2 linked regions of the Neurospora crassa OR74A genome follow. The protein of the gene in region 2 interacts with the protein of the main gene of each other region in a pairwise test. Links are inferred from orthologs where the notes say so. Each region holds a gene or a part of one and is shown on either strand. Other genes may lie near its edges.

Region 1 (5,280 bases), on a different chromosome or scaffold from region 2:
CAAGGTGGCCTCTGAAGAGCCTGTTTCCTATGAGGCACCGGAAGACGACGAATCTGATGGCGAGATTCTGTACGGCATGGGACTGTACGACCCCCCCGAGACCCACGAGCCCGCCGACATGGACTTTCACCAGTCTACCGTCTCTTCACTTCTTGGAAACGCCGCAGCCTACGAGAAGCCCTCCGGCAAGGGTCTGAAGCTCGAGGACGCATGGGAGCCTCCTGCCAGCGACGATGAAGAGGACAATGAAGAGCAGGAAGATGACGAGGAGGAGGAAGAGGAAGACTAAGACTCACGAGATTATGACACTTGCATGATGAAATATTGAGAAGAAGCATTACACCGGCGACGGTTTGGGACACGCATAGCATTTACGGGACGGATTCCTAGAAAGGCATATGGGCTGGAAGCCCTATCGAAGATGCATCGACACATCAGGAATGTGTGGCTAGGCGTTTTGGTTTGCGTTTTTTTTTTTTCCCTGTTTTGTTTAGGAGACAAAGATACCCACCTCTGCAAATAAATACATGTACATATCTGAACAACATGCGATCTCACTGTCCTTGATTCACACCACCATCTCTTATTCCTTGGCCGCCGTGCATGCCTGCAAATGTGATGTCTTGCTGAGTGTTCATAGTGACTCTCATCGTGAGCTTGTTGGGACGTCCCTGAATCAAGCCAAGAGTGATGAATAAGCGGCCAGCCGTCAGGGGAAGTGAATCCGTCAAATACTTGGGGGGTTCTGGGCGCCAAGGCTTTCTTTCCCCCCTACATTCCATGTAGGGGGAGCCGAAAAGTTGGGACGGTATTTTAAAATGGGACATCTGGAATCTTAGCGTTTCCTATACAAAAGTGTTAACGGAGGGACATCGATCATCATTGTACCACGGAACCTTTTTCTAAAATTCCAAGAAAATTTGAGAAGTAAAAGGACACGTCTAGAAAAGCGTACCCAAAATTGCATCAATTTTGGCACAAACATTAGGGAGATAGAAGCGATAGAAGTATCTTTCACTATAGAATCATCACCTTCGTTCGGCGTAGTGCAGCACACTGAAAGCGACAATATATAGTGTATAAAATACATTTGGACCTTACCATCTACTCATCTTTAAGGATGATTTTTTCAAAGCTTCTAAAATGGTTCCTATAAGTAAGAATTCTATACCTGAATTTTTCTAGAATTTTAGAAAAAAGTTTCGTAGTAGAATTGCTGACTGAAGTCGCTTCGCTAACACTTTTGTATAGGAAACGCTAAGATTCCAGATGTCCCATTTTAAAATACCGTCCCAACTTTTCGGCTCCCCCTACATGGAATGTAGGGGGGAAAGAAAGCCTTGGCGCCCAGAACCCCCCAAGTATGTTCCAGTCCCTGTTTGTGGTTCGCCAGAAACATGCACTACCCATCGGTTGACAGCTGCCAAGAGTGACTGGCGACCAGCTAGACTGTACCTCTACTGTAAAGTCCGGCAGGCAAGCTGGTGTTGCTACCCCGCCAGTGAGTGCTTGGCGCCAATTGGAACGACACCAGTGCGCCTTGGGTGCCCCTCGTTTGAGGTCAGGAAAAAAAAAAAAAAAAAAATGGAAGAAAGCGACTGACCAGAAGCCGTTATCGGCCGGAGCTCCACCAATTGCATCTCCAACCGCGAGCGATGAAGTGCGAGTCAAGTCTGGATATCGGTTGTTAGCGGACAAGGACGGCAATAACACCATCGAAGTCACCTATTGCCGGCTTGAGAGCATGCAGTGTGGGGGATCTAATTCTGATTCTTTCTCTCCTCCGGATTTAACCTGACAAACACCAAAACACTGCGTCTGAATCACATCAGCTTGCAGATATCACAAGTCGCAAAGATGGCTTCCCAACAGTAATGCCATCCCCCTTACCCCCCCTACATACATCTCCCCCGCCATCCTGCCCTCACCTCGGGCAACCGCAAGAGCTGGGGATGCTGACCTCAAGTTTCATGTCTTCAGCAAGGTTCTCATGCTTGGCGCTGGCTTCGTCACCCGCCCTACTCTCGATGTCCTCAGCGAAGCTGGCATTCCCGTCACCGTCGGTACGTCAACAGTCAATTATAACAATGCACCTCTTGTTCGACAGTCCGGAACGAAAATACGGGCATTTAGGCTGACATTTGCGCTTGTGCGCGACAGCCTGCCGTACTCTTGCCTCTGCTCAGAAGCTCTCTGAGGGTGTTAAGAACGCCACCCCCATCTCCCTCGATGTCACCAACGATGAGGCTCTCGACGCTGAGGTCGCCAAGCATGACCTTGTCATCAGCTTGATCCCTTATACCTTCCATGCCACCGTCATCAAGTCGGCTATTCGCCAGAAGAAGCACGTCGTTACCACTAGCTACGTCTCTCCCGCTATGATGGAGCTCGATGCCGAGGCCAAGGCCGCCGGCATTACCGTCATGAACGAGATTGGTGTAAGTCCATGACATATTAAATGTTTCGAAGCTTTCAATCATACTAAGTCGCTCGGCAGCTCGATCCCGGTATCGACCACTTGTACGCCATCAAGACCATCGATGAGGTCCACCAGGCCGGCGGCAAGATTCTCTCCTTCCTGTCCTACTGCGGTGGTCTCCCCGCCCCCGAGGACTCCGACAACCCGCTCGGTTACAAGTTCTCCTGGTCCTCTCGCGGTGTCTTGCTCGCTCTCCGCAACGCCGGCAAGTGGTGGCAGGATGGCAAGATCGTCGAGGTTGAGGGCAAGGACCTCATGAAGATGGCCAAGCCCTACTTCATCTACCCCGGCTACGCTTTCGTCGCCTACCCTAACCGCGACTCTACCATTTACAAGGAGCGCTACAACATTCCCGAGGCTCAGACCGTCATCCGTGGCACTCTCCGTTACCAGGGCTTCCCTCAGTTCATCAAGACTCTTGTCGACATCGGTTTCCTTGACGACACTGCGCGCGAGAGCCTGAGCAAGCAGACTCCCTGGAAGGAGGCCACCAAGGAGATCGTCGGTGCTGCTTCTTCCAGCCAGGCCGACCTCGAGGCCGCCATCCTCTCCAAGGCCACCTTCGAGTCCGCCGAGGACCAGAAGCGTATCCTCAGCGGGCTCCGCTGGATCGGTCTCTTCTCTGATGAGACCATCACCCCCCGCGGCAACCCTCTCGACACCCTCTGCGCCACTCTTGAGCAGAAGATGCAGTTCGAGGAGGGCGAGCGCGACTTGGTCATGCTCCAGCACAAGTTCGAGATTGAGCACGCCGATGGCTCCCGCGAGACCCGCACCTCGACCCTCGTCGAGTACGGTGACCCCAAGGGCTACTCTGCCATGGCTAAGACCGTCGGTGTTCCTTGCGCCGTCGCTGTTAAGCAGGTCCTGAGCGGCCAGATCTCTGGCAAGGGCGTTCTGGCTCCTATGAGCACCGACATCACCGAGCCCTTGATGAAGGAGCTCCACGAGAAGTACGGTATTACCATGATCGAGAAGACCATCTCCTAAGCTCAATGCGAAATTCTTGATGGACTGGAAGATGATGAAGAGAAGAAGAGTACTCTTTGACTAGGACGCCGAGTTTTAAATACCATGAGCGAAGCGACTGGACGCAAAGGAGGTGTTTATCCCCGATCGGACATGGAGTAGATCGAAGGCTGTGCAATGGCGGTGCTTCAGCGAAATACGAAGATACCAAATAGATCCAGGGTTGAAAAAAAGGAGAAAAGGGGAGGGAACTCGCCCGGAAAGGTACAGATGACTCATGAAGGTGGCATGTCCAACCCCCCCGGTTCATGGAGAGGCATGCCATGATACCGTAGTGGGCTATGAGGGCATGTAGGCATGGAAATAGGTAGTTGTACGAATTGACACCGCATGTTGAAGCCCTTATGAATTTCCGTCTCGCAACGCGAATTATTTGTTCGAATGACGCTGGAACCGTTCAAATAAGCCTGATCAGGTTGTGATACCCATCATGGTTGTCTCTTGAAGTGATTTGAGAAATATAGCGGTCGTGAGGCCTCGGGCACGCAGAGCTGTAGAGCTCAAAACGTGATCCAAGAAAACGGTGCAATTGAAAAATTGTTTGAGAGGTCCGTGTCCGACACAAAACAAGCATTTTTCCACTACCACCGCGGAAACCAAAACAACCGATCAAGAGATGACAAGGAGACAGAAATGTTCATACAACTGATTCGCACCGGCTTCCTATTTCATTGTGGTGTTTATGGATGAGCTTCATATTTCATGTCATATGAGAAAATTCTACTGCCACGCGATTCCGCCAACTCAAATTTCATCCTGACCGCAAAGCTCAAGACTCAGCGAACCAAACCAAAAACCGGACAGGATCCTGTGATCGAGACAACGCCAAACTGCCATCACAACAACCACTACCGAATTTCAAGGGCGCAAAAGAGGAAATGGTTCAGTATATCTTCACACCCTGGCGCGACCGTCGCGAACTCCTCGCTGTTCGCCGGCAATTTTACCCGCACCAGTACGGAAGCCAGGCAGCATCACAACCCCAACAACTGTCGCAAAGAGGAGGAGGAGGAGGAGCAGGAGCAGGAGCAGGAGCAGGAGCCAAACGAGGACGTGCAGCACAAAATACCCAGCGCACCACTCGAAAACGGGCAAGAACCGATGGCGCTGCCATTTCCTCCGAAACAGAGAAGGAGGATAACAATGACCGACAAGACCGACATGGAGGAGACGAACGCCGCCTAGCCGTCGCCCGCGTCTCCATGTGGATGCAGCGCGGCAACTGTCCACACATGGTGGAATCGACTGCCCTGCTCATGGCCGCGATTCTTAGTGACGAAGAGCAAACCGGCATCGCTGGCAGCTCGGGCACTGCTAGTTCTTACGGTACTTTAGGCACGGGCATGGTGAAAAGGGAATTGGATGTGGTGGATGGGTTCAGTGGCAGCGGGATTGGGGTTATGAGTTCGAGCTATGCGGTTAGGGCGGCTTATTCTGCTGCTTTTAGTCGGTAAGGGTTCTCCTCGCTACATATTCCCTCACCTACCAATGATTATACTAATGAAGAGCAACATTGAAAAGCTTCGTGACAGGCCTCCTGGACTCCCACCAAGATAAACAGCGCAAGATGTCCATGTACGGCGTCGCCAAGAGCGTTGGACTACCGGCGACTTTTGTCGAACTCAGACATCAGGCTACGCATGAGCAGTTGCCAAGTTTGACGAGGTTGAGGACCGCGGCGAAGAAGGGGCTGGAGTGGATTTGGGATTATTATTGGAAGCATTTGCCGGAGGTTGAGGATGAGACGAAGGGGGAGGAGGGTGGGGATGATG
Region 2 (4,742 bases):
CACCGACCCCGGTGTTGACGATGTGCTGGCTCTTCTTCTCGCCCTTAGTGCCTCACCTGAGGAGCTTGAGCTTGCTATGATCTCCGTCACTTATGGCAATGTTCCGCTTCAGAGGTATGTATGGATGGTCATGAAAAATCCCGGTCCGGGTAGCGGCAGCTTTTGTCTGACCTCAAGTTCCTTTCTTCCCGTCCCGCAGCTGTCTCCGCAACGTCGTGGCAACGTTCCACGTGCTGGAAAAAGAGATGAAGTGGCGCGAGGAGACAGGCAAGAGCACTCGCGGCTTCGGTGCCCTCAACACCCATAAACCCATTGTCGCCGTTGGTCCGGAGCACGCGCTGGAGGATGAGATCCTCGCGGCCGACCACTTCCGTAAGACAGACTGAGACCCCCACCGCTTTTCCCTCAGAAACAAAGCAGTTAACAAATTGCAGATGGTGCCGACGGTTTACATGGTGTCCACGAGAAGGTAAGTGAACTCCGAGGACTGCGTTGCGTTTCTTGTCATGGTACGTTTGACCTGACCACCGCCCCAGCAACCTCATCTTTCCCCCGCCGACACCTGGCGCTCTCTATTCAGCGACGAAGAGCCCCAGGGTGAAAAAGTCGAGCCTCCTTCGTACTCCAAGTACTTCACCCCAAGCAAGGCTCCAGCGCACAAGGAGATTCTCCGTGTCCTGAAGGAATCGCCCGAGAACACCGTCACCGTCGTTGCCGTTGGTCCCCTGACAAACGTGGCGCTGGCCGCTGCTGAGGACCCCGAAACCTTCCTGCGCGCCAAGGAGCTGGTTGTCATGGGTGGTGCCGTAAACGTCGAGGGCAACGTGACCCCCGTCGCCGAGTTCAACTGCTTCGCCGATACCGTTGCCGCCGCCCGCGTCTACGCCCTGACCTCGCCCAACCCGAGCTCGACCATGCCCCCTGTCATCCACGGCAAATCTTTTTTGCCCCCTTACCCCGCCAAGCTTTCCAAGCAGCTTAAGCTGACCCTTTTCCCTCTTGATATCACCACCCCGCTCGAGCTGAGGAAAAAGTACTTCTACGAGACCATCCAGCCGATCACCAAGTCCGGCAGCCCGCTTGCGCTGTGGATCGAGACCTTCATGACAGGCATCTTCAACAAAGTCGAAGCCATGCTTGGCGACGGCAGTGAGCCCGGTCTGTCCCTCCATGACCCGGCATGCATTTGGTACATGTTGACCCAGGATGACCCCGCATGGGAACCCGTGGCGAAGCCGGAAGATATTAGAATTGAGACCTCCGGCCAATGGACCAGGGGCATGCATGTCATCGACAGACGACAGAGGGCGAAGCCGGGTGAGCAGTCAAGCAAGGTGGAGACGCATCCGTCGGATCCTCTGGATGCGACCACCTTTGACGATGTCCCCGGAGACGACATGGGCTGGCTAAGCGTGAACAAGGGAAACAGAATTAACAGGATGGTCAAGACCCCCGGCGACGAGAAGTTTGCCGCCATCTTGATGGATAGACTCTTTGGTTGAACCTGCCGGCAGCACTTGTTGATTTTCTTCTTCTTTTGTATATAGAAAGCGAATCTATTCCACGCGGAGTTTTTGAGATCTGGGGTATCTGAAATCAATATTCGCTGGGTTCCTTAAACCGAGAGCTGGACCTGCCCGTGACACCTTGTTTTATTTTTTCTTCGTCGGTCAGCATAAGTCTTAACGGGGAAGTAAGAGGGGAAGAAAGATCGTCGATTGGGCATACCAATGTAGTAAAAGAAAACCTGTAGCTCCGCGTGTCAAATGCTAATGATGCAACCAAATCTTGTGTGCCACGCACATTATCCACCGGTGTTGTCCTTTATGTCAACTGCCCGCGACCGCCACACCGTTCGACTTTTGTCTTTTTTCCCCTTGGTTTCCTTCTCCTGCCTCCTCTTCTTGGTTTTGAGGGAGCGTGACACCATGCTTCACGCGCTCAGGTATAGCGCAGAAACGGTTCAATGGTTCGGTGGTATATTCTAGTGCTTTGTCGTCCCAATCGTAGCCCCCTTGACTTTGGTCCAGTCTATGCTCTCGTCCAGCGGCTCATCAACCAACCCAACCAGGCAGACCGTGTCCCCGCGAATCATGTGCGTTCCCAGCTCGATCTCGGCCGAGGGCTCGTCATCATCGGGGGAGCGAATGACTCGTTCAACTGCTCTTTGTAGGAACTAGTTTGTTGGAGGGTTAGTTGTCGTTCGCGATATGCTTTGTTTTGTTTATCAGGTGGCAGAGGAACTGTATCGAAGTATGGATTGGGAGGGAGCATATACTGACCACATTCGTGCTCATGTCTACCGAGATCAGTGTGCCTACTAAGGTGCGGCCATCGACTGTAATTATGCAAACCTTTTCTAAAGTAACGAAAGATGGATCTGTTAGCTTTCTGGTCTTGCGAATATCCTTTAACTTTGGGATGCCGTGACCAATTGATCTTGTGACCGAAGCAATGGAGGAAAGAGGAAGAGGGGTCGAAAAAGCCGAAGGGCTCAGGTAGAAGGGTAGACCAACTGTTGAGGTACGAATTTACCAAGCCCGCCGACATGGTGACGGATGAGTAGATGCTATTACTGTAGTCTTTGTGTGTTTTCTCGTACCGGCAATGCGCGGGCCCAAGACCGCGGTGATAAGCAAAGTATCACGTAAAGCCCACGGTCTAACTTGAAGAGTATTGATTCAAGCGAAACACGTGGTTGCAGACAGAAAGTCGTCGGTTCAACTCGAGGGCAATTTGTTCGCTTCGTGTGATCTTGGTAAGCCCGGCCGGATGGGGTCGTTTGGTCGTTCGTCGCTTCGAATGGGGCAATTGGTTCGTGGTTATTGATGTTTTCGTTTCTCGTTGACCGATCGCGAAAGAGGAATACAACCTGGTCGGCGCGCCGCGTCAAAGAAGAATAGTGGGTACGTAATGCTGGCGGGGAGGGATGTGGTTAAATCGTGGGGATGGGACAAGAACGTCGCCGTTGAAGCTGGAGCTTCTCTTGTTCTTCCGTAGAATCGCCAAGCCCAGATCACTGACGACGGCTCACGGCAGACAACGTACCAGCACTGTGGTGAAGGCTGGAGCTTCTGAAGCGGATCCATTCTCCACTCAATTGCCTGCCGCAAAAGCGACGCTCACCCATCAGCTTGCCCCTTTTCATTCGGGAGGGTTGCTTTGTTTACTTTTATCCGCTTTGGGGTGTCAATGCAGCCCTCAACTGTTTTCGGTTGCTGCTTGAATAATTGCCTTCATCATCGTATGGTCTACCATCAGAAATGCAGAGCTTTCTCCTCCTGGAGCTTCTCGTCGCTGACTTGCGGCAGTCTCAAAGAGCCCTATGAAATTCTGTGGAAGCTTATACGTATAGCAGGGCCAAGATGCGGATGTCAACGTCCACCATGGCTTGAAGGACTTCCATGAGACCATTCAAGCCCATTGAACCTGCCGTTCCCGTGACTCGGAAAGTTTGAACATGTCAATAATCCGAATACCGGCAGAGGTTGTGGTGTCTCCAGTCAGAACAGCCTAGGTAGAACCGAATGCGGAGGGAGATACAGACGCGAACCCCGCAGTAGGAGCCCCGCCCTACTGTGTATCTCTTGGACGAAGGCAGGGGACGAACATCTCCCGAAGGTGTACCAAATTGGCCAGCAATTGAACTTGTTCACCCAACGCAGCCAGTACATTTCCTCGCCATCTGCCGTCAGGTTATTACAGTTGACCTCGAGTATGTGGCGGCGGGACCTTGGTTCGGAGCTGCACATCAACTTTGAAATCATAGTGTGTACTGTGTGTTATCGGATTTGCTTTAAAAGAGTTCGGGTTGACTTAGTCCGAGCTTCCACCTGCATCCCCACTGACTTGGCATGCCTTTCCTCCCCTTCGTACGTTAAAACTCCTGAAGCATCATATCTCTTCACTGAACAAAGTCGTTCACGTCACTCCGCTTCACCAACTCCGTACAATGTCTTCCGGTAACCCAACTTCCAAGATGCTGGCGGCCAATTCGTTGAAGCAAATCTTCACCCAGGAAAGCCGCCCTGCTATGGGTGTCTGGCAGATGCTACCCGGGGCCAATATCTCGAGGATTCTCGCTCGATCGGGGGCTGACTGGGTAATGGTTGACTGCGAGCATGGAAACATCGACGGTAGGTAACCCGTAATACGGTGGTGAATGATGGGGCTTGTTGAGCTGAATGATATTGGTCAGATGCTGCGATGCACGAAGCAGTTCCGGCCATTGCTGCCCTGGGCGTTTCTCCTATTGTCCGGATCCCAGACCTTCAGCCATCGATGGTCAAGCGTGAGTGCCATTCGTATTGCCTTATCACTCAGACGGTTACTGATGTACCCTTTACAGGAGCGTTGGATAGTGGTGCGCATGGAGTGAGTGTATAAGAGTATCCTGTGTTGGAGACATTTTTCTGACGTGCTCCAGATCCTTGCGCCGCTCATCAGGACTGTTGAGGATGTCAAAAACTTGGTTACCGCGGCAAAGTTCCCACCCGAAGGCAAGAGAGGGTTTGGATCACCCATCGCTATGCAAAACTTCAACCCCATGCCAACCTTCACCGAATACCTCCAGCAAGCGAACGAGAGTCTCTTGACCATGGTGCAGATCGAGACACAGGAAGCCTTGGACTGTGTTGAAGAGATAGCTCCGCTTGTGGATGTCATCTTTATTGGTCCTTTTGACTTGGGTAACAATATCGGCCACCCGATTATCGAGGGAAAGATGGATCCGGAGCTAGATG

What was found.
Region 1: the proteins of NCU03085 (region 2) and NCU03748 interact in a two-hybrid assay, tested with the Saccharomyces cerevisiae proteins (2 studies listed by BioGRID). The link is inferred for Neurospora crassa OR74A from reciprocal best matches to the Saccharomyces cerevisiae genes LSM8 and LYS9.

Annotation. Positions count from the first base shown.
Region 1 is NC_026505.1:2,286,832-2,292,111, forward strand, and holds NCU03748 (saccharopine dehydrogenase), read left to right. Parts: upstream 1-1,573; 5' UTR 1,574-1,857; coding exon 1,858-1,871; intron 1,872-1,980; coding exon 1,981-2,063; intron 2,064-2,160; coding exon 2,161-2,438; intron 2,439-2,497; coding exon 2,498-3,469; 3' UTR 3,470-3,853; downstream 3,854-5,280. Other genes in the region: NCU03747 (hypothetical protein), read left to right, coding at 1-289; NCU11261 (hypothetical protein), read left to right, coding at 4,387-4,958, 5,030-5,280.
Region 2 is NC_026501.1:4,492,173-4,496,914, forward strand, and holds NCU03085 (small nuclear ribonucleoprotein Lsm8), read right to left. Parts: upstream 3,031-4,742; 5' UTR 2,551-3,030; coding exon 2,517-2,550; intron 2,360-2,516; coding exon 2,283-2,359; intron 2,177-2,282; coding exon 1,985-2,176; 3' UTR 1,503-1,984; downstream 1-1,502. Other genes in the region: NCU03084 (inosine-uridine preferring nucleoside hydrolase, variant), read left to right, coding at 1-114, 200-372, 435-469, 537-1,502; NCU03086 (HpcH/HpaI aldolase/citrate lyase family protein), read left to right, coding at 3,953-4,136, 4,199-4,291, 4,349-4,374, 4,427-4,742. UniProt on the Saccharomyces cerevisiae protein: Component of the nuclear LSM2-LSM8 complex, which is involved in spliceosome assembly. The LSM2-LSM8 complex plays a role in the biogenesis of the spliceosomal U4/U6-U5 tri-snRNP complex by accelerating PRP24-mediated annealing of U4/U6 di-snRNA.